4 linked regions of the Rhinolophus ferrumequinum genome follow. The protein of the gene in region 4 purifies or fractionates together with the protein of the main gene of each other region. This does not show direct contact. Links are inferred from orthologs where the notes say so. Each region holds a gene or a part of one and is shown on either strand. Other genes may lie near its edges.

Region 1 (7,443 bases), on a different chromosome or scaffold from region 4:
GGGCTTTGCACCCATGTGCCACTAAAATTACATAACAGCCTGTGCAGACATTAAAGAAGGCATGGATTCTGCACAACACCCCCACTTCCCTCGACTCCCGAGCCTTGTTTTCTTCTCTTAAAAAATCCAAACCCTGGCAAGACCAAGTGAACGACTCTAAATACTTATTTTATTGCTAGAGTAAATCCTGCGAGAGTTGAAGGCACGTTTAGGCCCGAAGTTTGAAAGTGCAACAGCCCCAGAGCGCAGCGACTCCACTCTCCGGACCCGCAGGAGAAAGAAATGACAAGCGACAACAGCCAGCAAGGCCTTCGCCTTCCTCCGCATGATGCCTCCCTCTAAAGTTTTCCACGCGATCGATCGGAGGGAAGGAGCCCGTTTCCTCCGCCTGCCTGACTGCAGGAAAAGAGAGCGGGGAGACGGGAGGGAGTCGGCAGGGAAAGTGCTGGAAAGCTCCGCACACAACAGGCGGCGGCGAAGGTTGCTTACCTGGGCGACGCGGAACAAAAAGAGGAGCCGTGGCTGTGCAGCTGGCGACCCGAAGCGGGTCTCCCCGCCGAAGCCCTAGGCCTGCGCGGGGTCCCGCGGCCGGGCCCCCGCCGCCGCTTCCTCCCTCGCGCGCGTCATGTCACGGCGATCAAACATGTCTGTGTGCGCTTCGCTGCTGTGACTTCCTGATTCTCTGCCGCTCGGGCGCGCACACTCACACTCACAGCCACACGCACACTCCACCCCAACCAGCCCCCTCCTCCAAATCTCGCCAGGTCTTCCCCGAGCTCCGGGGGAGGGCCCGCGCCCTGCTCCCAACGCACTGGACCCGGCGCGCACAAAACACACACACACTCACGCGCAGACACCCTCGCGCCCGCTTCGAGGGCGCCGAGACGCAAGCCGCCGGAGCTCGCCGCCCTCTCCTACCCCTCCACCCCCCCCACCCCACTTAGCTGCCCTGCCAAACTTTTTTTTCCTGCCTGATCCGCGTCCAACTTCCCTCCCCCAACCCCCACCCTAGCAGCCCAGCCAGCCCCGCGCTCACCAGGATCCGCCGCAAACAGCAACCCGGATAAAAATAATAATGCAATCCTGGCGGCCGGGGCAGGGGCGAGCGCCCAGAAACTGGCAGGAGGCGATTTCCCCGCGTGTACCGGAAACCGGCCCGAGTGCCCAGACAAGGGCGCGGGTGTCTCCGCGAGCCCGCACTGCTGCGCCCGGCCCCTCTCGGTGCAACTACGCCCAGGCTGCGAGGCCTGGTGCGGGGCACCCTTGGCACTGGACTCTGTGTGCGCCCCGCAGCCGGAGGGCGCCTAGGGGCTGGCGCGCCGGACCGGTTATTTGGGGAAGTGCATCTCGACACCTTTGCAGATGGCATGGCCATGTTTTGCAACACAAACGGGAGGAGGGAAGAGGGCCGGCCGGATAGAGGGAAGAGCAGAGGAAAGGGTAAAAAAGGTTGGAATGGGAATAAAGCAACTCGAAAGCAGGGAACGAGAAAGAAGGGGTGCGTGTCATCGTTGGGAGGAGGCTCCCATCGGGTCTCCCCGCCTCCAGCCCTCGCCTCCCCCCCCCCCCCATTGCTTCCCCACCCCCCCAACCCCCCGCAGCCCTTCCCCTTCTCCGGCGAACGCCACCGCTACTGCCGGCGTGCGCGCGGGTACTGTTTGTGACAGGCAGAGAGGATTATCTGGATCATGGCCTCCCGGTCCGCAACCACCGTGGCTCTCCCGGGCCCCAAAGCGCCCCTAGCACCCAGACGATTTGGGGCGATCTATGCCCGCGGTTCCCGCGGTTCCAGCTTGGGGAAGGCGCAAAGCAAAACAAGACAAACCCGGGTGCAGGGGGAGGAAGGGGAGGAAGGCAGCGTAACTGAGCCCGGCTGGCACCTCCGACCTCCTTCTTCGGTGCCTCCTCCCTCCTTCCCAGCAGTGCGGCCCGGGCCCGACACCCCGAACTTCAACACCCGAGCCCGCGCGGCTGCCAGGTACCAGGGGCAGGGACGCCCGCAGAGCCCCGGGCACAGCTCCGCGGCGGCCCCTTCCCCTAAAGGCCTGCCTACGGGTCAGCATTCCCATCCCCGCCCGAGGGAACGCGCAAAGTGGAGGTGACACCTCCGATCCGACACGCACAGACCCCGCGGCGGTGGCAGCCTTCTGCTCGGCGCGCCAGCTCAAGCTTCTCCTGCAGGGTTCCGCTCAGGTCTCCGCAGCCGGAACCCTTTAAACTAGTCCCCGGGAAGCGGGTAGCAGCCGCTTTGGTTGGCGCCCCGCCGCAAGCCCGGGCTCCTTGCCTCCTTCTCCCGCTCCTCTTCCAACTCTTCCGGGGAGGACTGCTCGGGATGAACTGTCGCGTTTCCATCCTCCTCCTGTATCCTCCTGCCTTCCCCTCCTTCCCACCCCCCACCCCCTCCGGCTTTTAAGGGGTTGGGGGGGGGACTGCAACCTTGCCGAGTGTGTGTATTGCAACCTTGAGTTGGCAGCGCATCGCTGACTGCCTACCCAGGGTCAAGGCTGTGGTTTGTTGGGAATTCCCCCCCACCCCGCCTCCTTGAAGTAGTAATTATTACTGTTATTATTAGAACAGCAAGGTTCGGTTGAAACTTTCCCGTTTCTTCCACCGCCGCCCGGGTGCTGTCGTTAGAGCATTCCACCTGAGGCCCGCGGGGAGGAGGCGGGCTTTTTTTGTTGTTGTTGTGGCGGTTGGCCCGCCTATTTGTTTTGGTCTCTGTGCATGCACAATAAATAATAATTAGGATAATAATGAATAATCCCCGGCGAAGGCGGCGCGGTGCCAGAGGGGTTTGTGCGGCGGCTGCAGCCGGGAGGCCGGAGGGAGGGGAAAGAGGAGAAAGGAGTTGTAAGTTATATTTACCTTGCTCGCGAGGAGTGTGCTGGCTGAATCTCTTCCCTCTCTGAGTCACCCAGAGTACAGAAACAGAGGGAGAGAGGACTAGATTATGAATATGACTTCATTGATGACAGCCATCCCCTCCTCTTCCTAAACTCCGGCTCCGCCCCGCGTCCCACCCTCAGCCTCCTCCACAGGCGCCGGAAGACGCGCCGCAGTTGGCCCCGCGCGCCGCTCCTCCCTGCCCGCCCCAGCGCGGGTTGGTGGGACGCGCCTGTCACTCGACCCGCTCAGCGACTCCGGGAGCTCGGGGGGAGGAGGGGGCGGTGTGCAAGAATGTGGACGGAGACAGCTCTACTGTATGCGTGGATCGGTGTGTGTCTGCAAGGCGCCGGCTCTCGAGCCGTGGTTGTGCCTGGAGCAGAGAAACTGCGCAGGACGCAGAGAGCCCCAAGGCTTGATGGAGCTGGGCGCCCGTTATCCCTCTCCGGGTAGACCTCTTCCAGGGGCGCTGCCGGGCTCCTCCCGGGAAGCTGGGGAAGCGGAGGAGGCGAAGCGAAAGGGGGAGGGCAACCGTAGTAATAGCGTGTAGTAGTTTGGGGGTATGTGAAGAAGGTGCTGGAATTTAACGGTGCCTCCGCCTGCCAGAGCGAGCCTGCAGAGGGAAAGGGAGGGGACACGGGTAGGGCTCCGAGTGGCACCAAAGCGGTTTGTGGCATAGTGTTGACTGTGGGGGGGGGAAGGCATTGTGTCGGCTGAAACTTTTTCCTCACTCCCCCCGCCCGCGACCCGAGGCTGCAGTTATAAATCGGCCCCCTTCTCCCCCATCAAAAGGAAGGAGGGCACAAAGAACATTCCTGCCAAATCTACCTCTTTTCTAAAGGACTGCAAGCTTCCAAATGCCAATGAGGGGAAAACAGCTGAGAGGCTGAACGCCTTATAAATAAATAAACCCGCCCTAAACCGTCTGTTTACTTTGTGGACCAGACACAGCACTTTGACCTCCCTCACTTGTCATCTTCGGTAAAATATATTCAAAAATTTGGAAAAACAACCCTGTGGGGGCAGGGCGGGCGGGTTAGGGGGCAGTTTAAGCATAGAATCTGCTTTTGATTTAAGAAGGGGAATAAATCTCTTATTCTCTACAGACCATAGAATCTTCTCTCCCACCCCACGTTTAAGACCAATTAGGGCTACAAACAGTAAACTGCTGGCACTTTGCGGTTTTGAGACCTCTTGTTCCAATTTTCCTTGAAATACAGTACTTTGGCGGGAGGAACAGGTCAGTGTTTGCTGAGACAATTTTATTTTTAGTTTTATGAAGTGTGAAAGAATGTTAGATTTTAAAATCAGGGGCCTATTATTTTAGACTCAGATTAATGACGGTGCTTGACTCTTAAAATTAAAACTGTTCCTATACTGTACTGTTCTGAAAAATATGATTTATCCCTTATTTTGTAATGTAATGGTTTAAATTAGTCATTCAAAGTGCACAGTGACTACTTGGTTGAGGATGTTTCCCCCTAGAGTAAAATCCTATTTTAAGGCCATTTTACTGTTGCAAAATTGACTCTATTTGAGCAATCAGGTCTGAAATGCAATTCTAGGATGCTTAAAACTATGCAGTGGGTACACTGAAGACACAAAGCAATGAAAGAACACCAAATGCTGCATGTGGTCATTAAGTGGCGAGAATTGTTCACTTTGCTGGTCCACTGCTTGAGGAAGGACAGTCTGCAAGGGCACCACTTTCAGGTGGCTAGGTGTGTCAAGGATCACCCACCCTGTTGTTTTTCTAAGGCCCTGTTATCTTGCTTGTCAACTTGAGCTTCATAATTTTCTGCCTATCCCAAAAGTGAACCTCAAGACAACAAATATAACACATCTAAGAGAAATAAAAAACAGTATGCACTGAAGAATCTTTTGTGAGAACTTCGTTTTCTGCCTGAGGATATGCCAGTATAACTGTTAACTGGGAAATACACAGCCAGAAGTCTTAAACAAAATTAGCAATGTAGTAAAAGTATAACTTCTAACTGCCTATTAAATTGCAACTAATAATATAGCCGGATAATCTAGTTATCTACAGAAGGACTTTAACCTTATGGCAATACTCATTACATTAGGTAATATTAAGTTTTAATTTTGGTGGACCTAATTTGTTTCTCTGCCATGTCAACCTCACAGGCCAATTTTTAGAAATTGATGACTTTACCATTATTTCCTTGCGCATAAGTGCCCTTTATCCTTTTAAGATTCTACCTCCACCTGCCATGCCAAATTTCAAAAAGAGAACAATCATCTTAGTAAGAAACTGGAGTAAGAGATTGGCCATTTTTTTCTGGCATTTTGTTAGAAGGAAAGTAAAGAAGAAAGTTGCCTTTGTTCCATGTATATATTCTTCAGCTAATACAAAAGTTTGATGCATTACCTGGAGGGATGGGTATCCATGCATTATATGCAAAACTATGGGAATTGAAAAATAAAATCTATGATTGGGAGCAGAGATTAAATACAGATATTCCATCTCCTTTTCCCTTCACATTGGTCTAAGAAAACACCACCTTATTTCAGGTCTTTTCTCTAAAGAATCGTCTTGTTTGTAGCTTATACTGTAGCAAGTAGGAATATTATAAAACAAGACCTACACTTAGAAAAAATCAAAAGGCAGCACCATTCACTCATTATGAAAAGATTGTAGAACATATAGCGTGAGCTTTATCTCTGATGTAAAGCAAAACTTAACAACTGATGTTAAGGAGAAAAAAGATGAGGTTTTTTTGTTTTGCAGAAAATCACACAAAAGCAAACATGGTTGGAGGTTAAAAAAACTGGGAGGCCGCACAGGATGCTATATTCACATGAAACTTTTCCTTTTGGACTTAGATGAGTCATAATGCGTTCTCTGAACTTGCTCTTTCTAGTTTGGGATCAAGGGCTAGAAGTCACTTTTTCATGTCTGTATGGCCACGTTCACTTTTTATGTAAGTCTGTTATGGTGGACATTCTGTATACGGTAGATACTGGGTTTGAAAATCGGTATCACAACACCCTCATGAAGAAAATTTCCATGCACAAAGATAGGAATCTTCTAGTCCCACTAGGCAAACTATTAACGCTGACTGAAAGAAATGTTGCCTAACTTCAAATGGGCTTGAAGGTAAGACCATTTAAGGCATGAGTGCTTCATCTGCAGTAATGGAAACGAAACTCTGACAAAGTGAACAGTTGACATTTAATTTAGAGAGAGTTTAGAATTAGCAAGTAAATTTATTGCAGAAATAAACACTCCTCTCTATCCTTTTTTTCTAGTCAATCGTCTCAGAAGATTTTGTTTCTCTACAATCACTCCTCCAAAATGCCACCCCAATTCTTTTTGTGAGCATATTACTCTCTAGCTTAAAAGCTTTTGTCTGTTCCCAATCCATCATAGGATAAATTTCAGATTTCTTAGCGTGTCATCCATCCAAGGCAGTGTGCATGGACAGATCTCTCTGCTAGGCTTGTTCTCCTTCCCCAAATGCCTAAGCTCTGGAAACATGGTCTACCACCTGGTTCCTAAGGGGCCATATTGGACATACATTCCTCTGACTGAAATACAGGTTCTCAGTACACATACTCCAAGAGTCAGCTATGGCCCAGCATCCTTCCAGTGGCCCTCCTTGCCCTCCTTAGGCAGAGGAAGCCACTTATCCTATTCTGCTCCCATAGCAACCAGTGTGTATGGCCGTTACAGCACTTATCACTTTGATACGATTATTTGCTATCCTCCACTAGATGGTTGGTGCCTGGAGGGTGTAAAGCAAGTTCAATTCATCTTTGAAACTTCAGCAATTAGCTGGATGCCTAGCACGTTGTACAGTAGTCCCCCTCCAAATCCAGTTTCGTTTTCAATGGTTTCAGTTGCCTGGAGTCAATCCTGGTCCCAAGATATTAAATAAAAAATTCCAGAAATAAACAATTCATAAGTTTAAAATTGCACTCCATTCTGAGTAATACAATGAAAGCTCACGCAGTCTTGCTCTTTCCTATCCAGAATCATCCCTTTGTCCAGCGTTTCCATGCGGTATACATTCCCCATATGTTAGTAGCTTTCTAGACAATCAGGTGGACTGTCACTATATTGCAGTGACTGTGTTCAAATACCCTTTAGTTTATTTAATAATGGCCCAATATCACAAGAGTAGTGATGCTGGCAATTTGGGTAAGCCAAGGAGAAGTCATCAAGTGCTTCCTTTAAGTGAAAAGGTATGTATGTGTAGGAAAAAACAGTATAAATAGGGATCGATGCTATCTGTGGTGTGAGGCATCCACTGGGAGTCTTGGGACATATCCCCATTGGCAAAGGGGGACTACTGTATATTGTTAAAGAAAAGGAAAAAAACTGTTGAATGAAAGGATGAGAGACATATATTAAAACTGTCTGACAGAGAATTTAGCAGGTCTTCATTACTAATTATCATGTTAATGAACAAGATTACTAAGTGTTCTGAAGCTTTATGATGTTTTCCAAGCTGAAATGCTGATGATATGTTTTTCTTTTGTTTCATTTTGTTTTGTTTTGGTGGGGCATGGAGAAGGTGGGAGGTGAGGAGAATCAAC
Region 2 (7,729 bases), on a different chromosome or scaffold from region 4:
TAAAGCCTATTTTTATAAAGCTTAACAAACCCCCAATTTGGTAAAAATCCTTTAATTATCTTCTAACTGCCATCTCCTCACTCTACAGTCAAGGGCTGTGACACATGCAATGTCCATGTTAGGATTACCAAAGATCTGAATTTTGTCAATGCCGAATACTGGACACCAGTGTAACGTTTTCATGTATTTAATTCTCTTACTAATAAATACGATTCACAATAATTTAAGCTTTAAATAACATTCAACCTTACATCTGCTTGTAATAGAGCTCAGTTATTATTTGTGGCAAGAATTTTGTGACTGTACTGCTCAGCACTATTTACATCAGCAGTGCTAAATGCCCAATGGTGAGAGGGGAGCCAATCAGATGGCAGATTAGATGTCAACTCAGAGGCAGCTGTCTGGAGACTATTACAGCCAGTTTACCTCCACAATTCAAATTCCAAACCTTGCAAAGGAGATCAAGTCAGTCTTTAGGCTCAGCCTACGAGCAAGAAGCGGCAAGAGTGCAGGACACTTCCTAATAACGCTGCGGGACTTGGGTGACAGCAAATTAAAGAAAATCCTTATAAATCCTATCCAAAATGATCAATTTTCACTGACCTGCTATTTTCCTGGACTTGCTGAATAAAATGTATGCCAAATCCATGATCAAAATAAGTTCAATGTAACCGGACTGTGTTCCTTTAACATAGCCTATCTGTTGAAGGTGACTCCTTCCAAGCAGCCCGTAAGCCAAATAATGGATTTCCTGGCTCTTCTTAGGAATGAATCGATATATTTTAGAATATTTCACCTCACATCGTTGTACATTTGGGTATTATTTTTGCTAGTAAATATTCCAACTCAAAGCCCGCATCGAATTATCTCTGAATGGCTGGGCATAACTCCGAAAACCACACTCGGTTACCACAAAGCTAACCTATTTTTCCTGCCTTCACCTTGGAAGCCGAAAGAGAACGTGGTGTGGCTGGAGGTAGGACAAAGTTCCTCGTTCTTTTCCCAGTTAATGCTTATTGTTGGCGCTAACCGAGAAGACGAGGTTAATATTCTTGCCCAGACCACAGTGGCCGGAGCGCCGGTCTGGTTACAAAAGCCGCCGGACCGTCCCCAGCGCCCACACGGCTGGCTGGCGGCGCAGTCCCCGACTCCGGCACGCGCGGCTCGGGCCTGGGGTGGGGTGGCGAGGCGGGGTGCTCGGCCGCCGGCAGTGCCAGCGCCCGGCCCGGCCCTCGGCCAGACCCCCTCGCCAGGCCCCCGGGCCGCGCACTCGAACACCGTGCGCTCCCCAGACTCTAAGGGAGGCGTCCACCACTTAAAATGGCTTTGGGCGCCTCACCCCCACCTCCCCCGACAGAAGACGCAGAAAAAGTACGCGGAAAGAAAGAAACTAGGGCTCGCGGCGCGCGCCGAGGCCGCGGCGGAAGCAGGCCCGGCCGGCGCGGGGGTTACCTGGGATCTGCCCATGGTGGGGCCAGGGGTGCCGGGACTCATCGCCGGGTGGCTCCTTTGTTGCGCGGCCGCCCAGGCCGGGCTGGCGGCGGCGTACTGGGCACCCATGTCCTTGCCCAAGCCCATGCCCGCGGCCGCCTGCTGGCCGCCCGCCGCCGCCCCCGCCGCCGCCGCCTGGGACTGGGGCTGCGACGGCGGCGGCGGCGGCGCGCTGGGGCTGCTGTAGTCGGGGTAGCTGCCGCCGTAGCTCCTCATCATGGGGCTGGGCGAGGTGAGCAGCTGGTTGAGGGTCGGGGTGGCCCCCGACGGGTGCTGGTTCTGCCCGGCGAAGCGCTGGAAGCCCCCCGCCGCCGCGCCGGCGGCCGCCTTGCTGAGGCTCGCGGCCCCGCCGCCCCCGGGGCCCATCATCATGCCGCCGCCCTGCTGCCGGGGGGAGCTCAGCACCCCGTACCCCGAGGACGAGCCCCCATAGCCGCCGCCGCCGCCGCCGCCGCCTCCTGCTGCTGCTGCTGCTGCCGCCGCCGCGGCCGCCGCCGCCACAGCTCCCGCTCCCGCTCCCGCTCCTCCTCCTCCTCCTCCTCCTCCTCCTCCTCCGCTGCCTCCTCCTCCTCCGCCGCCGCCGCCGCCGCCGCCCGCGCCGGGCCGGCTGTAGCCCGGATAATGGTTGTACTGGCTGTTGGGGTACCCTTCATGGGAGTTCTGCAGGGGGTCCATGCTGTTGGGGGCTCCGGCGGCGGCTGAGGCGGAGTGCATCATCCCCATCCCGGGGCTTTGTTGTCCGCCATGTTGATCAAAGCAAGGCCCAGCGCGGCCGCCGGGGCCGCCGCTAGCAGGGGCAGCGCTGCCATAGTAATTATTAAACTCCGAGACGGCTGCGGGGCCGCCGCCGCCGCCCCCGGGCACGGCCACCGGCGGCTGCTGCGCGCCCAGGGTGCCCAGGCCCGGGTGCTCGTACCGGCCGCACGCCGGCTCCCCCATCTTGGGCGGTGCGTCGTCCTCGTCGCCCGGCTTGCTCAGCAGAGGCTGGCCAGGGGGGTCAGCCTGGCCGCCCGCGGCACTGTCCTTGGCGCCTCCATGTTGCGGCTGCTCCATGTCGGGACCGGGCTGAGCCGCGCCGCCGCCCGCGTTGCCGAGGCTGCTGTTGTTGGAAATGGGATGTTGCTGCTGCTGCTGCTGCTGTTGCTGCTGCTGCTGCTGTTGCTGCTGCTGCTGCTGGAACTGGTTTAGCTGCTGCTGTAATGCGTGGTGGTGGTGGTGGAGGTGGTGGGCATGGTGGTGCTGGTGGTGGGCATGGTGGTGCTGGTGGTGCTGCTGGTGGGGCGGTGCGGAGGGGGCTTCGCCAACGGTTTTCAGTTTGTGGTTGGGGAGCAGCCCCGTCTCCATGGCCGAGCTCGGGCCCGACGAGGAGGAAGAGGAGGACGCCGCGGAGGAGGAGGAGGACAGCGCGGCGGCGCTTCCACCCTCCTTGAGAGCCGCCTCGGATCCGCCGCTCTTGGCGCTGTTAGTGCTGGCGGCAGCGGCCGCCGCGCTCGAGTTATGGGCCATGTTCAGTTCGTGACGGGGGTGCAGGGGGTGGTGGTGCACACTGTTCAGGCTGCCGCCGTCGCCGCCGCCGCCGCCGCCGCCCCCCAGCGTGGGTCCCGGTGCCGCCGCCGCCGCGCCGCGCGCCCCCGTCTCCAGGTCCCGGACCCCGGGCGCCGGCCGCGGCCCGGGGGGCGCCCGCCGCTCGCCGCTGCCCGCCCGCGCCCGCGCCGCCGCTGCCGCTGTTGCCCGCGCGGCCATGATCGCCGCGGCGTGGCGAGGCCGGGCGGGGGGCGGGGGGAGACAATAAAACCCACTTTTTAGTCCGCGGCCCCTCCTGTGCGCATCCACACGCCCCGACGGGGATCGAGTGAGCCCCCTCCCCCTCCACAGGCCCCGCCGGAGCCGAACCGGGAGTCACGCCTTACGGTCTGGGCCTGTTCCCGCTGTGTGATTTCATGGTGAAAGTTTTGAGTTCAGGTTTAAATGAAACTTTTCTCTTTTCCTCTCTAACCCGGATATGGGTAAATACACGACTGGTTGAGCCTATTGGGCCCAGCATGGCATGAGAGGGAGCCGAGCGAGCCCGAGCAACTATTATCCACTTCTCTCTGATTACTCGTGTGCACTCGCAAAACGTGGACTGGACTCGGTGGGCCGCCGCCGCCCGCCGGGCCCTGCGCCCGCCGCCCGCCCGCCTGGGCGCAGCCTCCCGGGCACCCGGCGGGCCCGGGCCCTAGGGCTTGGGCCCGCTCCGCAGGCGCCCGGAGCGCGGCGGCGTGGGGCGGATGAAGGCTGCACTTTCCCCCTCGTGCCTCCGTCTCCTTGCCAACCGGGCGTTCGCGTGTTTGTTTTCACGTCTAAAAGGAACGATACAAAGGTGGAAAACGAGTCTGACGAGCAGACAAAAGAGGGAGAAGGGCTGGGGAACAAAGTTGTCTGTTGGCCTCAAAGGTTACGTACGAGGAGCCGACGGAGAAAGAAAATATTTGGGCAATCGGTGCAAAAGGACTGTCTCTCCCAGGAGTTACGTAATTTTTCAGTGTTAGCCTCTGTGCCTTGATTTCGGGCCATCAGCATAATTCCCACTTCTTCAAACTGCAAAATTAGGAGAGTTTAAGTGATCCTTAGCCGAATCGGAGGAGCACTGTGCTCTGTACACAGCAAGTACTCAATAAATGCTTATGATTGACTGCACCTGCCCCAAAGATAATGTTGATATAACTATATTTTAAGCGTCCTTATATATGTATGTAGGCTTATCAGTGAAAACTCAAAGTATTCCCAAAGGAGCGTCTTTCTTACAATGCACTTGTCCTCTCTAAAAGGAAAGTATGAAGAGTTGTGTGTTATGCTCCAAACAACTTACACATGGAAATTTTAACGGTCATAAATAGCAACAGCTAAGGTTTATCCCATAACTTCATAAACCTATATGATGCTTTTCACCATATTTCAGAGGTTAATGTGCTCAATTAACCCTTTTGATATGAGTTCGTTTCTAGGCAATTGGAAACAAAACTAAAAGAAATACATGTTATGTTTAATAAACATAAGATCAAACATAATATAAATTGGTCATATCTAATCCTAGAGTAGAAATGTTTCATACTTTGTTCTTTAAAAAGTACTATCTATTGTTTTATCACTTTATGATGTCTTAAGTGTTTTTATTGTTAATTTATCACCTAGTAACACCTTGAATTGCTTCAATAGCAGGAATTCTTAACCTAAGCAATGGCTCAGTTGTACTAGTGTGGACTCAGTTTTCGTGGAGAGAAAGCATTTGAAACCAGAGCTTTGATGAGGTCTCCCTAGCTGAAATATATATGATTTTGGTAGAATGTAGTTTTCTAAAATGATTGCATTCTTCAGCTTTTCAAAAAGACCATTTTAGTTTATTTCAAGTGCAGTAGTTATTTTTGTTTGCTTGACCAAGTGTCAATATGTTATGTGACTAAATAGAAAAGGATAGATGGGAAAAACAGGTGACTAATGGGGGGAGGGAATCAAATGCACACCCAAGGGTCATTATATAGAGTATAGAAACAACAAATTGCAGTTCTATGCAAGCAGCTGGAAAACAGGGTTATATCATCCTGTGTAAGAGAATAACAGAACTGTAAGATGAATTCATGCCAAATCATTCATCAGTTTTTGCCAAGAGACTACTACATCTTTGTCAGTGGGCCTTTTTGACATTTTTCTTCTGATTTTCTCCCTTTATATATTCAAATACAGTACATACTAATTATATATACACATATATATGTGTATATATATGTATATATATAATACTACATAAGTTGAATTTTTAAGTTTTTCGTATGCAAATATAAATATATGTTTTGTGTATGTGTGTATATACATATATTCTAAAATGAATTACATATGTATGCATTTAGACATTTATAGTCAAACTAAATATATACATACAATCATAACAGTACATTTTTTCAAACCAATAAAATATATCCAAGTCAATTCATACAAGTGTAGCCATATTTCTGGCTTATTTTTAAAAACTAATTCTAAAAGGGAAAATGAGTCACCAAGTTCAGTTCTGGCCCATTTCTTAAAAATATTTCATATAGAAAAATGAAACCAAAAAAAGGTATATAAGTCAAAATCTCTTTTAATTCCATTTGCTTCAGCAAGTCATCTAGAAGATTGGAACCAAGAGGCTATGAAATAGAGGCCCCAGCACAATGAAATCAGTCTGCTATAAAAGGAGACACATGCCAGTTTGTCCTCCCCAATGGCAGATGCCACACCCTAAAGCAGACAGAAGGCACTGCAGTCTGTAAGAGAAGCACAACACAAAGCCGGCAGGACTTGGTTTTGTCTTTTAAACCACAGAGACTGCTAAAATACCTTTTAAAAAGCATCTTGCTGAAGATATTCAACCTATACTTTTCAAACACACCTCAGGAAAACAAAATCAAAGCCTCTTACAGTTTCATTTAAAAATCCAGGACTTAATAAACAAAACGGCAATTATTGGGGGCCTGTCAGAAAGTGATGAAATAGGTTCACATTTCACAAAAGCACAATTTGAACTATACATCATGATTTCTACTGTGTGGCTTGCTTCAATAATCATATATGGCAATTCAACATTTATATTTTAATTTAAAAAAAGGTAGTAAAAATCACCGCATTTATTTTTCGTAATGAATTCCTAATTTTTACACCTCTTGACTAAACTTCAAATCATGATGACAACTTTAATAAGTTTCTCCAGCCACAAGAAGCCGCAGAGGTGAAGGGCCGGAAGCTGCCGAGTGACGGTGCCTACAGCGGACCTCCCACCCACAGGTTGCCCCATGCCCTCGTGTGCAGCCAGAGGATTATCCGTTGTTTTGCTAAACATTACTTTTGGCTACAAAAAGGGTTTGGGGTTTGTTTGGCTTTTTTTAATTATATGAAAAATTAATATTCAAATACTGCTGCTTTTTGAAAAGTTTTAGGGCGCTGAATAAAGGACTGTTGGACTTGCCCACTTCAAGAGGATTGAGCCAGATGATAGTTTAAGAATGCCACAGTTCTGTTCTTTTTGCCTCATCAGAGCCCATCACACTGTTTGTTTTCAGATTAGTCCCCTTTTACTGTTCTGGTTATTTATTCGATAACTGAAACTATCACGATTCACTACCCATCATATTTCTCAGTATGCTTTACATAATTTGGAAGCAATTTAGAATAAAGCCCTGTCAAGGTTTTACAAATAAGAACTATTAAAGAATAAGGCTTTGGATACTTGCTTTCCTTTTAGATTTATGAGAAATGCGATGAATGGAGCTAATGGGATTTCCCTACTGATCTTGGTCAGGCACTTTAAAAAGCACTAAACAATTGTCCTTTTCACTTCTCTGATTTACTTTAGCAGTGAATAACTGAGTTAGTGCAAGATACGGGATATACATTTGATTTGAAACAACTATGCATATTAACAGTGGCCCATAACTTTGGGATGCAAAACAACTAGGATTTGAAAAAGATCTAGGCAACAGTAATTTAAAAAACTGGGGACTGATGATCAGTAGCACTATTGTACTTAGAAAGAATATAATAGTGGGGATAATAAAACTGATTGGGGAAAAACTACACTTACTCACAAAAAAAATTATCTAGAATCTATGACATGCCCTGAGAATAAAAAAGGTAAGTACTACCTTGATCCTGTTCTCAATAGGGGAGATAACCAATTACCCTAAAACATAATAAAGGCTGCCCTGAAACATCATGGAGGACGTGGCCAGTCAAGAAGCAGGCTCGGACTTCCCACCCAACAGCTTTCCCTGTGGCTGTGTCTTGTTGGCTGCCATCAGTGGACACCTCGCCGTAATCTTCAACCTCAGATGGCTCTAACATGCCCCTGGGAACCCACCATTGTTGGAGCTAGACTTCCAGAACCTTAGGTCAAAGTTAACATTAGACTGTTACAATTTCTCTCCAAAATCCCTAGAAAGATAGCAACGCCAGTGAAATAAATGAAGAAACACCTTACTACATTTTAGAACATTGTACTTTTTATCTTCTACCAGACTGTCCACATTTTGAATAATGTGTAATAAATATTTTTATTATAGCCTAGTTGAGAAATGTTCTGTAACTTAGACAAATGTGTGTTCAATGGCATTTCTTTCATTTTCTTCCCAGTATTGTCCTCATTCATTTTGCCTTCATGAGAATCACTTATTGAGTACCTATTAGTGTATTTCAATATTCTCTCCTATATCATGTCATATAATCA
Region 3 (7,467 bases), on a different chromosome or scaffold from region 4:
AGTAAAAATGAATTTAGAAAAATTTAGCAGTTTTTCTTTACTATCTAATGATACCATAGATCCATAAAATTTACGGCGTTCGTAAACCGAAATGTTCATCAACGGAGACGTTCGAAAACCGAGGTACCACTGTATATAGGAAAGAATTTTGGACTCAAAAGACTCAATTTGAAATCTCAATCAAGGGTAAATCTTTAAGTGCTCTAAGAAGCTGGAAAACTGCACAGTGCCAGGAGTTATCTGGTTCTAAGTGTGTATATAGAACCAATCTTGTTCTCAGGGCTTAACAAACACTTTAGCACTGGAGCTTAAACTATAACAATTCGTATTTATATATTTGATAATCTTAAACAAAGGGCAGAGGCAATTTCTTTCCCACAGTATTCCCAGTACCCATGAAGGTAAGGTGTCTGGGGCATCTTGATTTGACTTAGGAGTAAGAAGACCTGGCTTGGATGAAAGTCACCAAATAAACACGCACAGGTATAGACTGGGGAGGTTGGATTAGATAAGTTCTAACATATTCTATGAGAGGGAGACCCCTTGCATGAGAAGCTGGACAGAGTAAGTCTGTGTGGCTTATGTACGTAACTTGAGCTACACCAACAAACTCTTCTCTGGAATCAGAGGGGAGCTTTCATTGAGCAGCCACAATAGATCACTTAGGTACAGCTTAGCAAGTTCCTAGCAAATGAAAAAACACACCACACACAAGGTGGTGACACCACAAGATAGCCTGGTTTGATTCAATGAGCTGTAATCCCTGTGATTTGAGGCAGCATGAATCCTGTGTTGGCGAGTGGAGAGCACAGAACAGGCTCACCTTGGCTTGCCTTTAGGAGGCAGCCATGTCCTCCTAACACAGAAAAATCGGATAAACAAGGTTGAGAGCAGCAGCTACTTTGTTTCTGCTGATGGGAATTGATACTGACATTGGAAGTCAAATGGAAGGAAGGGCCAGATGGGCTGAGAGCTGCAAGGAACAGCTTGGGGGGGAATGGAGAGTAAAGTTCTTGTGAGTTAAGGGGAATTTCAGAAGGTGAGGCAAACTGTCCCATGAGTAAGAGAGCTGGGACTGAAACACAAATTGGGGGGAGAGAGGATCTGATGGAGAGAGAGCAAGAGAGAATGAGAGAGCTCTTGAAGAAATGAAGGATCCTATCCCAAAAAATTCAAGCTGACATTATTCTCTAGATCTTGTTATCTAATCAGAAGGTATCAAAATTAGTCAGCAGCCACAGCTATTTAGTACTCTTATTTTACCTTAGTAAGACACCTTAAAGACTGTTTCAATTCTGATACCACATTTGGGAGGGACAGAGAATTTACAAATAGGGCAATTCTTCTCCCAAAACAGATGGAAGTCAGAAAAGATGAGCTGGTAGTCCTGACCTCGATGAATACAACCTCAGCTGTCAGAAGACGAGACACACCACGATCAAGAGAGCAACAGAAAAACATCTCACAGGGTGAGAGTGGTACAGGAATGAAAGCCTCTTCTTAAAGGGAAAGTTCTGTAGGAAAATGTATTCATTGTGATCCACAGCCCTCTGCAACTACAATTGAGGAGAAAGTTGGTTTCTCATTACTGGTACTCAGGAACCAGTGGCTGGTGACCCTCACAATCTCTATAGCTCTTTAAAGAGAAATAAGAAATCTTGCTCTATTTAATCGGGCAACTCCCCACTTCTAACACTACACAAAAGGGCTGGCGATCCTATTTCCCGGAAGAAAGTCTTCCTTCATAAAAAAATCTCATTACATAACACTCTCAAAACCTAGGCCAGTCGGACATTCTTCCAGTGTAGTAAGATTTGCGAGGTAGAAGCTTTGATTCTTTTTCAGGAAGCATGAAACCTGTGTAAAACCTCCCCTTACAATGGGGTGGGGGGAGTCAACAAAGAGAAAGGCAGGGAAACAAAGAAAGAACATCTGAGTCAGGAAGAAGAACTATATAAATGGTAGATTATTTCTAAATTGAGGGAAATGTCAGCCTGAAGAGAGAGCTGAGGAAACTGGAGTGGGCAGATCACAGAGAAAGATAACAGTGATGGGAGGAGGGATGGCTGAAAAAAGGCAGCAGGATAGAGCTGAAAGCAAATTTAAAAAAAAAAAAAAGAAAAAAACCACAAGAGGAGAAGGCACTTAGCTTAATGGAAGTGGGAAAGCTTTCTCAAAGAAAAGGCTCCAGGCAGGGGAGGCGGGGAGAAGCAATGTACCTTATAAAAGGCTCTTGGGAAGAGTGGGACTCAGCCCACCACAAAGACAAATGAGAAGCTTTAGAATAGTTCCCAAACCTTTACCTTGTCATCCAGTCAAAATCCGAAAGCCCTGGCTGGACAACTAGACACCTCTCAACGTACCTACCCCTGCACCAAGCCCAATTAACAGGAGCTTGTTCTATTGGCCCAACGGGGCACGAACCCATTTCAAAACCCATTCAGATTCTTCGTCAGGGAGGAGGCTGTATTAAATCAACTCCCAAAGCATCTCGAACTCATAGCTAACAGGCCATTTCCCCAACAACCATTAACTTTAACTTTGCTCGAAATCTGCCCAGCACAAGAGTATTGCCGCCCTCGATGCGCCTCCAGCTGCAAAGGCATCCTGCCGTCCAGCTCCCGTGTTTTGATGTCTGGGACTGGCCAGCTCAAAGGCCTTCTCCCCTGAAGTTCTTTCCCTTCTGTATCTGCTCAACAAATTCTTCCCGAGAATATTTTTGGTCTTGAATACCTGCTACCTAAGACACCCCCCACCCCACACACACACACGCCGCGGGGCTGCCCCGCGGTGCTTAACCGCGTGGAGGTGCCGCGCCTGTTGCTCCAGGGCCGCTTAGTCGACCGGGAGGGGTCGGTGGCCGGCCTTCGCGGGGACACTGGTCGTTCCCGGGTCCGCCCTCCGCCGGGTTCCTCCGGACTGCGGCGTCTCGGAAGGGACCCCGGAACTGTGTCTCTCGTACGCAACAAGGGAGCCATAATCTGGAAACCGTAAGCCTCACACAGCCCAGGGAAGCTGCCCGTCAGGAGCTCCCGTGTGCCCCCCTCAGGGCCTCCACAAGTTTCCAAAGAAGCGCAACGTCTTCTCCGGAGTCTCCTGTTGCCCTCCACAGCAGGAGTCGCAACATGGCCTTCCCCGGCACGTCCCTCTCTTCGCCTCGTCCATTCCCGCCCAGCCCCCTCCTCCCAGGCCCCTTACAAGACCTCCCGGCCTAGGAGAGAAAGAAATGACCACTCACAGCTTCACTACATTTTCCACCACGGCCGCCATCTTCCCTGCTCCTTTCCCTCAGGCCGGGAGGCCCGGAGCCTGCAGCGCGCAGGCGCCGGGACCTAACGGGGGGGACCTAGTTTCCTTGTCCCTCTGCGCAGGCGCCGCCCGAGCGCGCGCGCGTTCCAGAGCGAGCGGCGGAGAACCCGCTTGGCGCCCGCTCCCGCGGCCGGAGAGCCGAGGAGCCCGACGCGCAGGCGCGATGGGTACGGGCGCGCGCCCCAGCCTCCTGCTTGAGCCCTGCGTCTTCCATTTGGAGGAGCGGGAGCGGGATTTACCCTGGTCCAGAAAGGAGAAGGCGAGAGGTTGGTGAAACTGGCAGGCCCAGAGGTGGGCTAGATGGAGTGCATGCGTCCTGCAACCTCGCTCATCTTTAATCTCGTGCTTAACTCTTTGCTCTCAGTCACAGGTGGGTAGCGGAAGGTAAGAGTGGTGCATAGTTCACTTGGGCCGCCAGACATACTATTCCCATTTTAGGGAGAGGAAAATTAATGCCTAGAACTGGGCAGTTCTTTGGCCTAAATATTGGGGTCTGATAAAGTTATCTTCCTGCCACCAAACTCACCCACCAACTGCACTGGTACCCATCTCTTCTCCCTTGCTTCTTACTCCTATCTAAGCTCCTTCCCTCCACTTAGGTTTTGAAGAACTTCCTTCCTGCAACTGTTCTTCTCTCATCTGTACAATTAATTTCTCCCTCACTGTTGAGCCATGCAAATTCGTGTACAAACATGGCTTAATATTCTCTTTAAAAGAAAGCGAAGCTCTTCCTTAAGTCCATGTCTTCATTTATCACCCTATTTCTTTTTACCTTTTCATAGCAAGTGTTCTGTTTATATTCCCTATCTCTGTTGACTTATTTCCAAGTCTTTCTGCCCAATTTAATGGGGATGTTTCCCCCCACCAGTTCACTTGAAATAGCCCCTAACAAAAATCAACAGACTTAGAGATCTCCTCTGTCCCCAACAGCCTGTCAACCCCATGACACAAGTGACCACCAGTCTCTCCCTTACCACGTTTCTGAGGCATGCACCTGGCTGTCCTCCTGTCACACTGTCAGTTCCTTCAGCCTTTTCTGGCTCTCCGACGTCTGTTCCACCTGTAACTGTCAGAGTCTCCAGGGCTTGGTCTTTTGTCCCTGTCATATACCTTATTTCATCATTTCCAAGATGCACATATTCCATGTCCTCTCTCCCCCCCATTTTAATAATTCAGAATCAGGGCACATCTTACCATCACTGTGCCTTAAAATCGTGTTTGGCAGATGACAGTTGAGAGGTATGTGTCATTGTCTGCCTTCCATCAAACTTGCACAATAGGTGTCAGCAGCCTGGAAGAAAAACCAGAGATAATACTGGTGCACTCTTTTACCCCTGGGAACTGAATGATTGGGAGGACAAAAGGTGTCAGAGGTGACTCCAATGCGAGAGTCAGAAAGATGTGTTATGGTCTAAATGTCCTCCCGCCAAAAAAAAAAAATTCACGTTGAAGCCCTAACCCCCAATGTGATGGTTTTTGAAGGTGGGGCCTTTGGGAGGTAATTAGGGTGAGGTGAGGTCATGAGGGTGGGGCCCTCATGATGGGATTAGTGTCCTTGTAAGAAGATGGATCTCTCTTCACGAGGAAAGCCTTGTGAGGACACAGCCAGAAGGCAGATGTCTACAAGGCAGGAAGTGGGCTCTCACCAGGAACTAAATCTGTCGCCACGTTGATCTTGAGCCTCCAGAACTGGGAGGAATAAATGTCTGTTGTTGAAGCCACCTAGTCTATGGTATGTTGTTACAGCAGCCTGAGCCAACAAAAGCAGTGTGCTAGCTCTAAAGCTGAACACTCACATACTCTGATCCAGAATTTCCATGTGTGGATCTATATACCAAAAAGCACGTACAAGAATGTTTACATTAATTGTAATAGCCCCAAACTGGAAACATCCCAAATGCCCACGACAGTTAGAATGGATTAAACAACAATAAAGAGAATAAACTATTGCTACAGAACATGAATGAATCTCAAAAACTGAATATTGAGTTGAAGAAGTCAGTTTTAAAAGAGGACATCTTGTATGATTCCATTTATATAAAGTCACATACACAGACACACTAATCTATGGGGATAGAAGTCAGCAGAGCGGTTACCTTTAGAGGACAGTGGCAAGGAGAGGGCAGGAGGTGGCTGCCGAGGTGCTAGTAATATTTTTTTTATTCACCTGGGTAGTAGTTACACAGGTTTGTCACTTTGTAAAAATGAATTGAACTACACAAGATTTGTGCACTTCTCTGTATGTATAGTCAGTAAAAATTTTAAAATAAAAAATTAGTAATACTAAGGAGGCTAGTTCTGTACAATCGGAAAGGCAGTTTATGAGCCCAGCACCAATGGCTTTCAGGTCTTGTAGGATTCTTTTTTAAGAAATCACTGAACAGTAGATACCCTACATGTTCTGAGCAGTGACCAGTGACGAGTATATAGTGTTTCTCTTACAGACAGGAACCAAGGAGTGGAAGTGGGGGTGCAGCCGCTTGCCATCTCAACTAATGACCCTTTTGCAAAATGTTTCCTGTTCCTGCGACTCGGCTTTTGCTGATCTAGAGCCGTGAGGACCGAAGAGAAATGCTTCCTCCAGAGGCACAATAAGGATTTCTCTAAATTAGGAGCTGAGCCTGCCGGTGGGTCGTTTTGTATTCCACATCCACTGGGCAAGAAGGTGAAAAGCGGGTAGCACTGTTGGCTGGGGTGATTGATTCTTATTATCAAGGGGTAATAGGATTGCTATTCCCCAGTGGGGGCAGGGAGAACTAGAAATGAAACCTAGGGGATCTTCTTAATGTTACATTCAGGTAGTTAATGGGAGACAGGCTCCTGGTTAGGTATTTAATTCCCACTAAGACAAACTAAATATCAGAGAAAGGGAAAAAAAAAATCTTAAAACCATTCAAAAGCTAATAATATAATGAAAAATTACTGGGCCAACATTTAGGAGGCTGAAATCCAAAGAGGTAAGCCCAGAATTCAAAGCAATTTTTGTCCTGAAGACATTTACTGATCTGGAAGCTATAACTGAAACTGAGCTGTCTTTGGTGGGAGGATCAAAAATCAAAACCCAGAGCCTGCCGGTGGTCAGATATCCCACCACCACGAACACACACACACACACACACACTCACACACACAAGCACGCACATTAAGATGGGACTCCTATTTCTACGGACTAATATCCCAGAATCATATTATCTGGGTGGTTCAGGAAAACTCAAGCCTTGAACTTGGATTAAACTTGGGTTGAACTTGGACCCATCCTTATAATGTTCCTTGTCACTTGGCAAAAGCAAGCATATTTGGTACCAAGCAATATTCTTTCTGAAGGAATGTACTGCCATCCAAGGCCTCAAATTATTTCTAAAACAATTTTTTCAGGTATGATATCCAGTCCAGTCAAAGGTAATCAGGCACACAAAGAAATCTTGCACGAGAACTGATACACACCACAGAAAACACAAAATGATCCACAAAGATTTAAGATACTGGAATTATCTGATAATGACCATAAAATAATACTGCTTACTGTGTTTAAAGAAGGTGAAGACAAGCATAAAAATATCTGCAGGGTACAAGCACCTATTAAGAATTTCTACAACAGAATTTTTAAAGAATCACGTAGAACTTCTTGAACTGAAAAATACAATAACCCAAAGAAAACAACAAGTTGGTTAAAAAGCAGATTACACAGAACTGGAGAACCAGTGAATAGGTAGGAAGAAGTTATCCTTAATACATCACGGAAAGACAAAAGAACAGAAAATACAGGGTTAGCGTAGAAGCATAGAGGATATATAGAGAGCTCTAAGGTACATTTAATTGGAGTCTCAGAGGGTAAGGAGAGAGAAAGGGGCAGAGGCAATATTTAAAGAGCAAATGATAATTTTCCAAAAATAATGAAATACATGAAGCCACAGGTTTAAGAAGTCCAGTAAAGCCCAAGCTAGCTAAAGACTTAATGGAAATACACGCTAGAGTATTTGGAATGAAGTGTCACAATGTCAGCAACTTAACTTTCAAAAGGTTAGGAAAAAACTTGTATGCAGAGATAAAGCAAATGAGGCAAAATGCTAATAAATTGGCAAATCTAGGTGAAGGTAGATGGATCTACATTATACTAGTCTTTCAATATTTCTGTAGTTTTGAAGTTTTTCAAAATAA
Region 4 (8,097 bases):
TATGCTAAGACAAAGCAGTCAAAAAAGACCACATATTGTATGAATCTATTTATATGAAATGTCCACAACAGGCAAATCTACACAGACAGAAAAATTGGTGATTGTCAAGGGGTGAGGAATTAGGTGGTAGAAATGGGGAGTCACTGCTGATGTGTATATAGTTTCTTGACGGGATAACGAAAATGTTCTAAAATTGATTGAAATGATGGTAGTACAACTTATCAATATTCTAAAACACTTGAATTATACACTTTAAAATGGGTAAATTGTATGGTATGTGAATTATATCTCAATAAAGCTGCTATTAAAAAGTTAACACAAAATGAAATTTAAATTTCAACACAAAAAATGAAAATTAAAAGAAAATTTTCATATCAATCTTACTGAGAACACTCTGAGGTCTTTCCTTTATTCTGATAGTCCATTATACATTGAATAAGATGGTTATTTTCATCCAACATCTGAAATAAAATTGGAAAAAGTTTATTGTAAATCTAGTGTTATCAAGTAAAATTTTTAAAAGACCTTCAAATTTCTAGAAATATTTATCTATACAGAAACTGAATCCACTCAGATCTTTTAAATCTTATTTCACACCTCTGGAATGTCATGTTTAATCAACAATTTTTAGATAACTCTATTCCAATTATGCTCCCTTTTAGTTATTACCTGCAGCCCTGAAGGAAAAATTTGAAGTTTCTTTTGTATTCAAACACTTAATTACCCCTGCTATATATGTAATAGAAGCTTTAGTCTGTTAAGACTAACTGTTGAGTCCAAGTTAGCTTTCTATCATTCTAATGCTTTTTAGTAGTAAAGAAAATTGTCCTTATCCAGAATGAAGTAAATACATAAAAACTTCAGCCCAGGAAGCTTGCCAGAATGAAGTAAATACATAAAAACTTCAGCCCAGGAAGCTTGAGGAGATAGCTGGCCAGTTTCCAAGTTTTACACAGTATGGTTTTGTGATTCTCCAAACATGAAATAATCAAATACAATAATTTCTACTTATGTATAATAAATTTATTGCAGACTTACCTTATAATTCAGTTGTCCCAAAAGTGTAAAAACAAAAGCATACCTATTTATCACTCTATCATGTTATTACAATTTAAAGCAGTATTGGTTTTAAGGATTAAATAATTCATCTAAGCAAAGTGACATTGAGAAAAGAATACTCATGTATTAATAGCAATTAAAAGGCCAGTTAGCTTTAGTGCCACCTTTGCTATCCCATGCAAACCACTTAAAATTTCAGATTTATCTGAAAGATCAAGGGACAGGAGTAGCTGTTCCCCCTGTACTTGCCCCATCCCTCCGGGCAAGTACAGGAGGAACAACGAATGAAGTAGAATACCATAATCACTCTATCTCAATAATTTAGTTAATATAACTCAATTAAAAACGAAGATCCATTTAACAGTAACTGTGTCTTTTTTCTGCATATGAATCATAATCTTAACTTGCTGGAAAAAAATATTAACTGTTAATTTCTTAAATAGACTCACTAGATGCCAAAAAAAATTGTCCTTATAATGCATTAGTACAATCAAACCATTTCACAACGTATCTTCTCAGTAGATCTCTCAGCCTAACAAACTGTATCGTTAGAATGTCTCATATCTAAAATTAATCCCTCACACTGTAAAACGAGGCACTTGATTTGGAATCCACTTTCCCTTCTCATCTGAAGATGACAACTAATTGATCAACATCTCCTGAATTAATCACCCATGAGAAATACCTTAAGAAAAACTGTAGAAAAAAAGAAAAACTCAGGAATTTCCTACAGTCCAAAAATAAAAAGTGAATCCCTCCCCCCCCAAAAAAAAAAAGTTTTTGAGTGTGTTCTTGGAGCTGTTCGCCACACTGCAGACTTAGCCCAATGCACTATATGAAAATACAGCACCCAAGCACTGCCAAGCCGGTTTGCTCATAAAATAAAGTCAGTTAGGCAAATCAACGTCAAATGGCACACTACAAAGAACCTGACAGTAAACAGAAACTGATGAACAAATCTATTGGGCATAGGATGTAGTAGTAATACATACGATGTTGCCCTTAGTACTAAAAACTCACCTTTCTTCAATTTTCATCCCTACTCCAGTGCATAAAACAAAATCGAAATATTTAAGGTAAACTACGAAGTTTAGCAAGTAACTTTTCAAAGTCTGGCTGAGTAAATTTTAGAATGCTGCTTTGCTCATAAGGCAACAAGAGTAGAAGACAATAAAGAACCTTTGTGTCCCTAATTGGCAGTAACACGGCAACAAGAGACAGTACTACTCTCTAAAAGGGAGGCGGCTCCCAGTGTATTTATCACGACTTCCGTAATTGGTTATAATTATCATTGTCTCTACCACTAGACTGTAAACTCCATGAAGGCAGGGTCCATGGCTCACCACTGTAGCCTCAGAGCCTAGACATGGCGCTCAATGAAATTTGCTGGAGACGCAAACGGATGTGGGGTGAATCCGGAATGGAGAAGGGGACTCCGAGGTTAACCCTGAAGTCCAGAGGGCTCTCCCTCGCCTACCCTTCTGATTCTATGAAGGCTCCCTGTAGCGTCCCCCAAGTTCTCGGAGTTCCGCAACTCGGCTGGAGTTTGCAGCACCGCGGAGGGCGGCGACTTCGCCTCGGCCTCCCGCGACCCGAGATCGGGTCTACACTAAGCAGCCACGGAGCGCTGGGCGGGGCGACGCTAAAGTAACTCCGGAGCGACGCGCGGGGCCGCGGGGGGCGCCGGCTGTAACAGCCCTTGCCCCGCGCGATCAGCGCCGCCGGGCGCACGCGCCCCGCAGCCCGAACGCCGCCCCATCCCTAGAGAAATCCGGCGGCGGTTACTTGGGCTTTTGTGCCTGTAGGAAAGAGGCCCAACGTGCCAAGGACTCGGTGAGAGAACCAGTTCGCCGTCTTCCGCCACCCACTCAGGCACAGCCCGTGGCTCGGGTTGCCACACCGCCGCCTCCCAGCAGGCCCGCCTCCGCCCCCGGCCCGACCGACTGTCGGCCCGGCCCCCGGGGGTCTCTCCCAAAGGCGGGATGGGCCTGGCATCCCCGTCCCCGCGAGGTTTCACCTTCTGAATTGCGGCGGGAGTGATCTCCCCCTTGCCTCGCTGCCTCGGGGCTGCGAACGCCACAGACATGTTGCCGCCGTCACCACTATCGGCAAGTCCCGAGCGCACCGGTGAACAGCAAACTGGGGGAAAGACGCCGGCCTCTCGGGCTGAACCACTTCGGGAATGCGGGGTGGGGGGATGCTCCAATGTCGAACAAACAGGAGGCCTGCCTGGCCTAAAGGAGGAACTCTGGCCCACACACGTCCTCTTTCGAATGTTATTTGAGAATCTAAGCCCCCATGGAACTTCTCAGTTTTTGATCGACCTCTCGTCCTTCTACCTTTCCTTTCATGGCCCCCAGTCTCTTTGCGCTAATGGTAGGACCGCGCCCCAGCCCTCCCTCCGCTTCTGCGATTCAGGAAATGGTCCCGCCGCCACGGGAGAGTGAGAGGCTGGGGCAGCGCCTGTCACAGGAAATGCGAGTGGCCCGAACTGGCCCGCCCCTTTCACGCGGGTGCAAGTTGCCTCCCTCCTCGGCGCGCTGAAATGTCCCTCAAACTGCGTTTCGGCGCTGTTGTTGATCTAGTTCAATTTTTCCAACTTTATCCTCACCCCTCCTCGAGTTGTCTAGGCACCCCGGATAGGGGAGGAAGAAGGTCAGGACACGGGAATCCGTGCAAACCGCTGGAGCATCTGCTGACATGAGGTAGAGGTGGAGGACTAGGTGAACGCGGATTCGCTAGTTTAAACGGCTCGGCTACGCCCCAAATGCGCACCTCTGAGTCCACAGTCTTGCACGCGCACACGTCGTCACTAACAATTGGAAGCGAGCCTGATTCAAAATCGGGAAACAGGGCTGTGTCCAGTACTCAGAGGCAGTCGGCCAACTTGGCTAGCGTACCAGGGGAGGAGTTCGCTGCTTGGGACAAACCCTTAGAAACGTCGGGTCGAGTTCGTCTGACTTGGATTTTTCGAATTAAGTTTTGAAATAGGGAACCCTCACTCTTTTCCAATTACATACTTAGTGCCTTGTAAATTAGGTCCAAGCTGCCAGGCTTCAACTCTGTTAGGAAGAAAAACAACAAAGCTCTCCAATTATGTAAGGACGATGGGCAAATGTGGGTTATGTGTTGGTGTGAGGTTTTTTAAATTATTCTGTAAATTTACATTTCCACCTAATACAAAGGAAAAGTTTATATAAAATGTCACCCCAAATTAACGAGGCTCAAAATCAATCCCTCAGTTTATATATAAACTGAAAAAATAAAGAAAAAATTTATAAAGTTTTTTGTTTCAAATAAATGCTCTCCACAAAAAGGTCATAAGTTTCATTCAGCACATTAGGGTGCGTTCTACCTATGGGCTTTATCCTAGGCACCTAGGATACAACTGTGGACAAGTTCAATATGGGAGCTGCTCTCAAGGAGCTTATATTCTGGTAGGGCTGACAGACTAAAACCAAATAAACAAATATGCTATATGTAAAGTTCTAAGAAAGACTAGCAAACAAGGAACTGAGAACAGACAGGGACACTCAATGTGAGTTAGGATGGGAAGTCTTCTGCTATATTTAAACAAAGACCTAACGTGAAAAAAATTCGAGCCATCCTATGAATAAAGGGAAGAGAATTTATACTTCTACTAATGGTAATTATTCTTAAGAATTTAATTGCCTTTCACTACTCTAAGCCCTGGGGGGGGGGGGGAAACAACTCTGGTATATTTGAATTTAATGTAATCTCATGTTGGAAAAATTTCTCATGAACTCAGAAACTAAGTCTCGTCCACCACAAACACTGTATGTTCAACACCTGGCTTTTATCATCATCTTGATATTTACATAAAAGTACCTAAGTAGTTAAGAACAATATTTCAGTGGGAAAAATGACAAATTGTCCTACTGCTCCAGTTGTATCTGCTTGGCAGATAGCAATGAAATCTTAAAGAGCAACATGAACCAGTAGGAATAGTCTGAATTTCTATAGCTCGGTTAAAAAAAAAAAAGTGCTAAGGGGACTTCTATTCCAAGGAGGTACCCAGGAGATACTTTCTTTGTTTACATTACAGCTCCCCAACAACAGGAAAGGATATCAACTAAAAATGGGTAATAGGTCAGCCCAAGGCGCTTATTCCTTCACAGTAGCTGGGTAGGACCTAGGGCACTGACAGGCTAGACTTGAGGCATGCATAACCAGTCTTTTCTGTGATACCATGTGTTTTCTATGTATCTGTCACATGAAATCGGTTGGGAAGCATTGGAATAAAGGTCCAGCCAGAAATACAAATCATCTCCCTTAGAGAAGACACTTTAATAGGACACTACCTTTCTCTCATGCTTCCTTCGTAAACACAGTTTAATGTGGAAAAGTAGAAAATTCAGAGAATGAGAGGGTAGATTGTAGCCTCGAGGAACTTTCTTAGATCTTTGTAACTGTAAGAGCCTTGAGTTAAGGAAAAGATAATTAAGGGCACTTAGTAAATCCTGCCTCACTTCATTAGTTTTGAAGAGAAAGGAATCCCAAGGTACAGATTTAGTGGTAGCAGAGTTGGGACGAAAAGGAAAATAAAGAGACCCCAGCATTTAGTTAAGAAAATGGAGAATAAAGATGGGAGGTTGGCCCAAGTCTGAGAAATGACTGCGGGAACTTAAAAAAGAGCTTACCCAGGCAACCATCGCCCCATCCAGAAACATCAGTCCCATTATTTAGGCTGTTCTGGATTGAGACATCTGACAGAGGAATTGAAGTCACACAAGGAAGAGGTGACGGTTTTTAAGAATAATCCTAATAGAAGAACATATACAGTGGCTCAGACTAAATAAAAGATCTGCATGAACAAATCTTGATTATTCATACCAATAAATATAGACACATTTAACTCAAAAAAGGTAGTAGGAAAATTGTCCATGTTTGATTTTCAATGTTTCAATTTTTAATTTGTTTTACATGAACTTGTTTGTATTCCTTAAATGCCTTTCATGGAACTGATGAAGTGCTCCAGGAATACGCTCAATATTTTGTGAAACTACATAATCATGGCATTAAAAATTATCTTAATCCACAAAAAACGTATTATGCATGTGCAGATAATTGAGATTACTTTCATACAAACATTTCTGTAATATTGTTTTATAATTAACAGAGCACACGGACTATCAAATTTGCTGATATTTTAAGCCCCTGTGCTGCCATAAATTCTTAGAATACATTTGGAAAGGCATTGACCAAGCCTGTCTGTTCATAAATGGGCTCAGAGCAAAACTCCTCAGGTAATTCAAACTATTTCTGCTCACCCTTTCCATGGCATTTGATGAGTCATTTTGAGTTGGCGCTTTAACAGATTTCAAAATTATAAGGCGACTATATAATATATATATTCATTATTCCAGGCAAGAACAAATCACCTTTCCCAATTCTCCATAAAACTTTTTCAATACTCCAGAAGATTTAATTCAAAGTAGACCATAACAAACCCTATTTAGTGCGTTTTCATCTCTTTTTACAGTATCAAACTTAGACTGAATTAAGGAGGAGCTGAATCAATTATATTTTGGTGTTTAATGTTATAGGATGGTATTGCTTTAAAAAAAATAGTTTCTATGTGAAGCTCTATGCAACCTTAATTCACTGAGAAATGCACAGGTTTGGAGTTCCCAGTTCTTCCACCAATGCAATGCTACTGGACAGGCCATTTCTATATTTCATTTGCCTTACAGAAAAACAACTGCCCTAAGGCTATTAGAAATAATAAGGTGTTTAATTACTGTTTATTTAGCATTTATTATATACAGCCACTGTGCTAAGTGATTATCTTACATTAGAGTCTTAAAGATTGTCCCAAATTTTAACATGTACAATATGTAAAAAAATACGTGGCACATTATAAATTGCTCAACAAGGATAAGATCTGTTCTTAATCTAATAAGGAGAAAAATATATACTTTAAGAGTAGAAATGTTCAAAAGTTCTTGATAGTGCAGTCTAGTGCAGTCTACCCTTGGGAAATTTTCTGGCTATAATTTAGAGATTAAGTGATCTTTTTCCAATTTAGCATGTTATCTGACCTTATGCATGATGTGTAGCTACTCTACCTTTAGCAAAAGAATATACTAACTGTTCTTGAACTGCTTCACAATTTACAGAGAGGATTATGATATACTAATTTCCCTATGAATTGTTAACTAATTTTCCTATGAATGGGTGCAGTAGGCAGAATAATTTCATCCTGACAAAGATGGCCACCTCCTAATCTGCAGAATCTGTGAATATGAGAGGTTACGTGGTAAAGTGGAATTCAGGTTCTAAATAGAATTAAGGCTGTTAGTTGGCTGACTTTAAAATATGGGGATTAACCAGGATCATCTGAGTGAGCTCAAAGTCATCACAAATATCCATAAATGAGGAACAGTGAGTTGAAGGGTCATAATCAGAATTATGGTATCTTGAGAAAGACTTGACTGGCTATTGCTGGCTTTGAAGATGGAAGGGGGTCATGAGACAAGGAATGTGGGTGGCTTCTAGAAGCTGGAAAAGACAAGGAAGTAGATTCTCCCCTAGAGCCTCCAGAGGGAACACCAACCTGCTAAAATCTTAATTATAACACAGTGAGGCCCATTTTGGACATCCTACCTCTAGAACTGTAAGATAATATGTGTTTCTTTAAGCTGTAAAATTTGTGATAACTTGTTAGAGCAGAAATAGGAAACTAATAAGATTGTTTTTTCCCATCTAACATTTATGGCTGAATTAGGCAATGTGCACTAAAATACTGATAAGTGATTCAATATTCAAACTACTGTTCTAATATATAGTAAACTAACCTAACAATCACATTTATTATACAGTTTCTTAAAAGAAAAATAATAGCATTATATTATAGTGCAGTCCTGTAGATACCATGATTTCAGCCTTGTGGCCTCCAGAATTGTAAGAAAATAAATTTATTTTAAGCCACCTAGATTGTGGTAATGTATTACGGCAGCCATTGGAAACTATAATAACACAGATGCCAAGATACTTCAATGGAGAAAGGACTGTTTT

Evidence for each region.
Region 1: the proteins of SS18 (region 4) and SMARCA2 purify together in Homo sapiens (affinity purification with mass spectrometry; 6 studies listed by BioGRID and IntAct, counting the BioPlex papers as one, with this or other methods). This does not show direct contact. The link is inferred for Rhinolophus ferrumequinum from reciprocal best matches to the Homo sapiens genes SS18 and SMARCA2.
Region 2: the proteins of SS18 (region 4) and ARID1B purify together in Homo sapiens (affinity purification with mass spectrometry; 4 studies listed by BioGRID and IntAct, counting the BioPlex papers as one, with this or other methods). This does not show direct contact. The link is inferred for Rhinolophus ferrumequinum from reciprocal best matches to the Homo sapiens genes SS18 and ARID1B.
Region 3: the proteins of SS18 (region 4) and DPF2 purify together in Homo sapiens (affinity purification with mass spectrometry; 4 studies listed by BioGRID and IntAct, counting the BioPlex papers as one, with this or other methods). This does not show direct contact. The link is inferred for Rhinolophus ferrumequinum from reciprocal best matches to the Homo sapiens genes SS18 and DPF2.

What each region holds. Positions count from the first base shown.
Region 1 is NC_046295.1:33,833,263-33,840,705, forward strand, and holds the start of SMARCA2 (probable global transcription activator SNF2L2), read right to left. Parts: upstream 3,021-7,443; 5' UTR 2,866-3,020; intron 2,248-2,865; exon of another isoform or gene 2,124-2,247; intron 1,380-2,123; exon of another isoform or gene 1,037-1,379; intron 884-1,036; exon of another isoform or gene 490-883; intron 1-489. UniProt on the Homo sapiens protein: ATPase involved in transcriptional activation and repression of select genes by chromatin remodeling (alteration of DNA-nucleosome topology).
Region 2 is NC_046286.1:98,773,678-98,781,406, reverse strand, and holds the start of ARID1B (AT-rich interactive domain-containing protein 1B), read right to left. Parts: upstream 3,058-7,729; 5' UTR 2,998-3,057; coding exon 1,453-2,997; intron 1-1,452. UniProt on the Homo sapiens protein: Involved in transcriptional activation and repression of select genes by chromatin remodeling (alteration of DNA-nucleosome topology).
Region 3 is NC_046294.1:6,328,740-6,336,206, forward strand, and holds the start of DPF2 (zinc finger protein ubi-d4), read right to left. Parts: upstream 3,388-7,467; 5' UTR 3,271-3,387; coding exon 3,239-3,270; intron 1-3,238. UniProt on the Homo sapiens protein: Plays an active role in transcriptional regulation by binding modified histones H3 and H4. Is a negative regulator of myeloid differentiation of hematopoietic progenitor cells. Might also have a role in the development and maturation of lymphoid cells.
Region 4 is NC_046302.1:22,094,597-22,102,693, forward strand, and holds the start of SS18 (protein SSXT), read right to left. Parts: upstream 3,232-8,097; 5' UTR 3,146-3,231; coding exon 3,077-3,145; intron 462-3,076; coding exon 385-461; intron 1-384. UniProt on the Homo sapiens protein: Appears to function synergistically with RBM14 as a transcriptional coactivator. Isoform 1 and isoform 2 function in nuclear receptor coactivation. Isoform 1 and isoform 2 function in general transcriptional coactivation.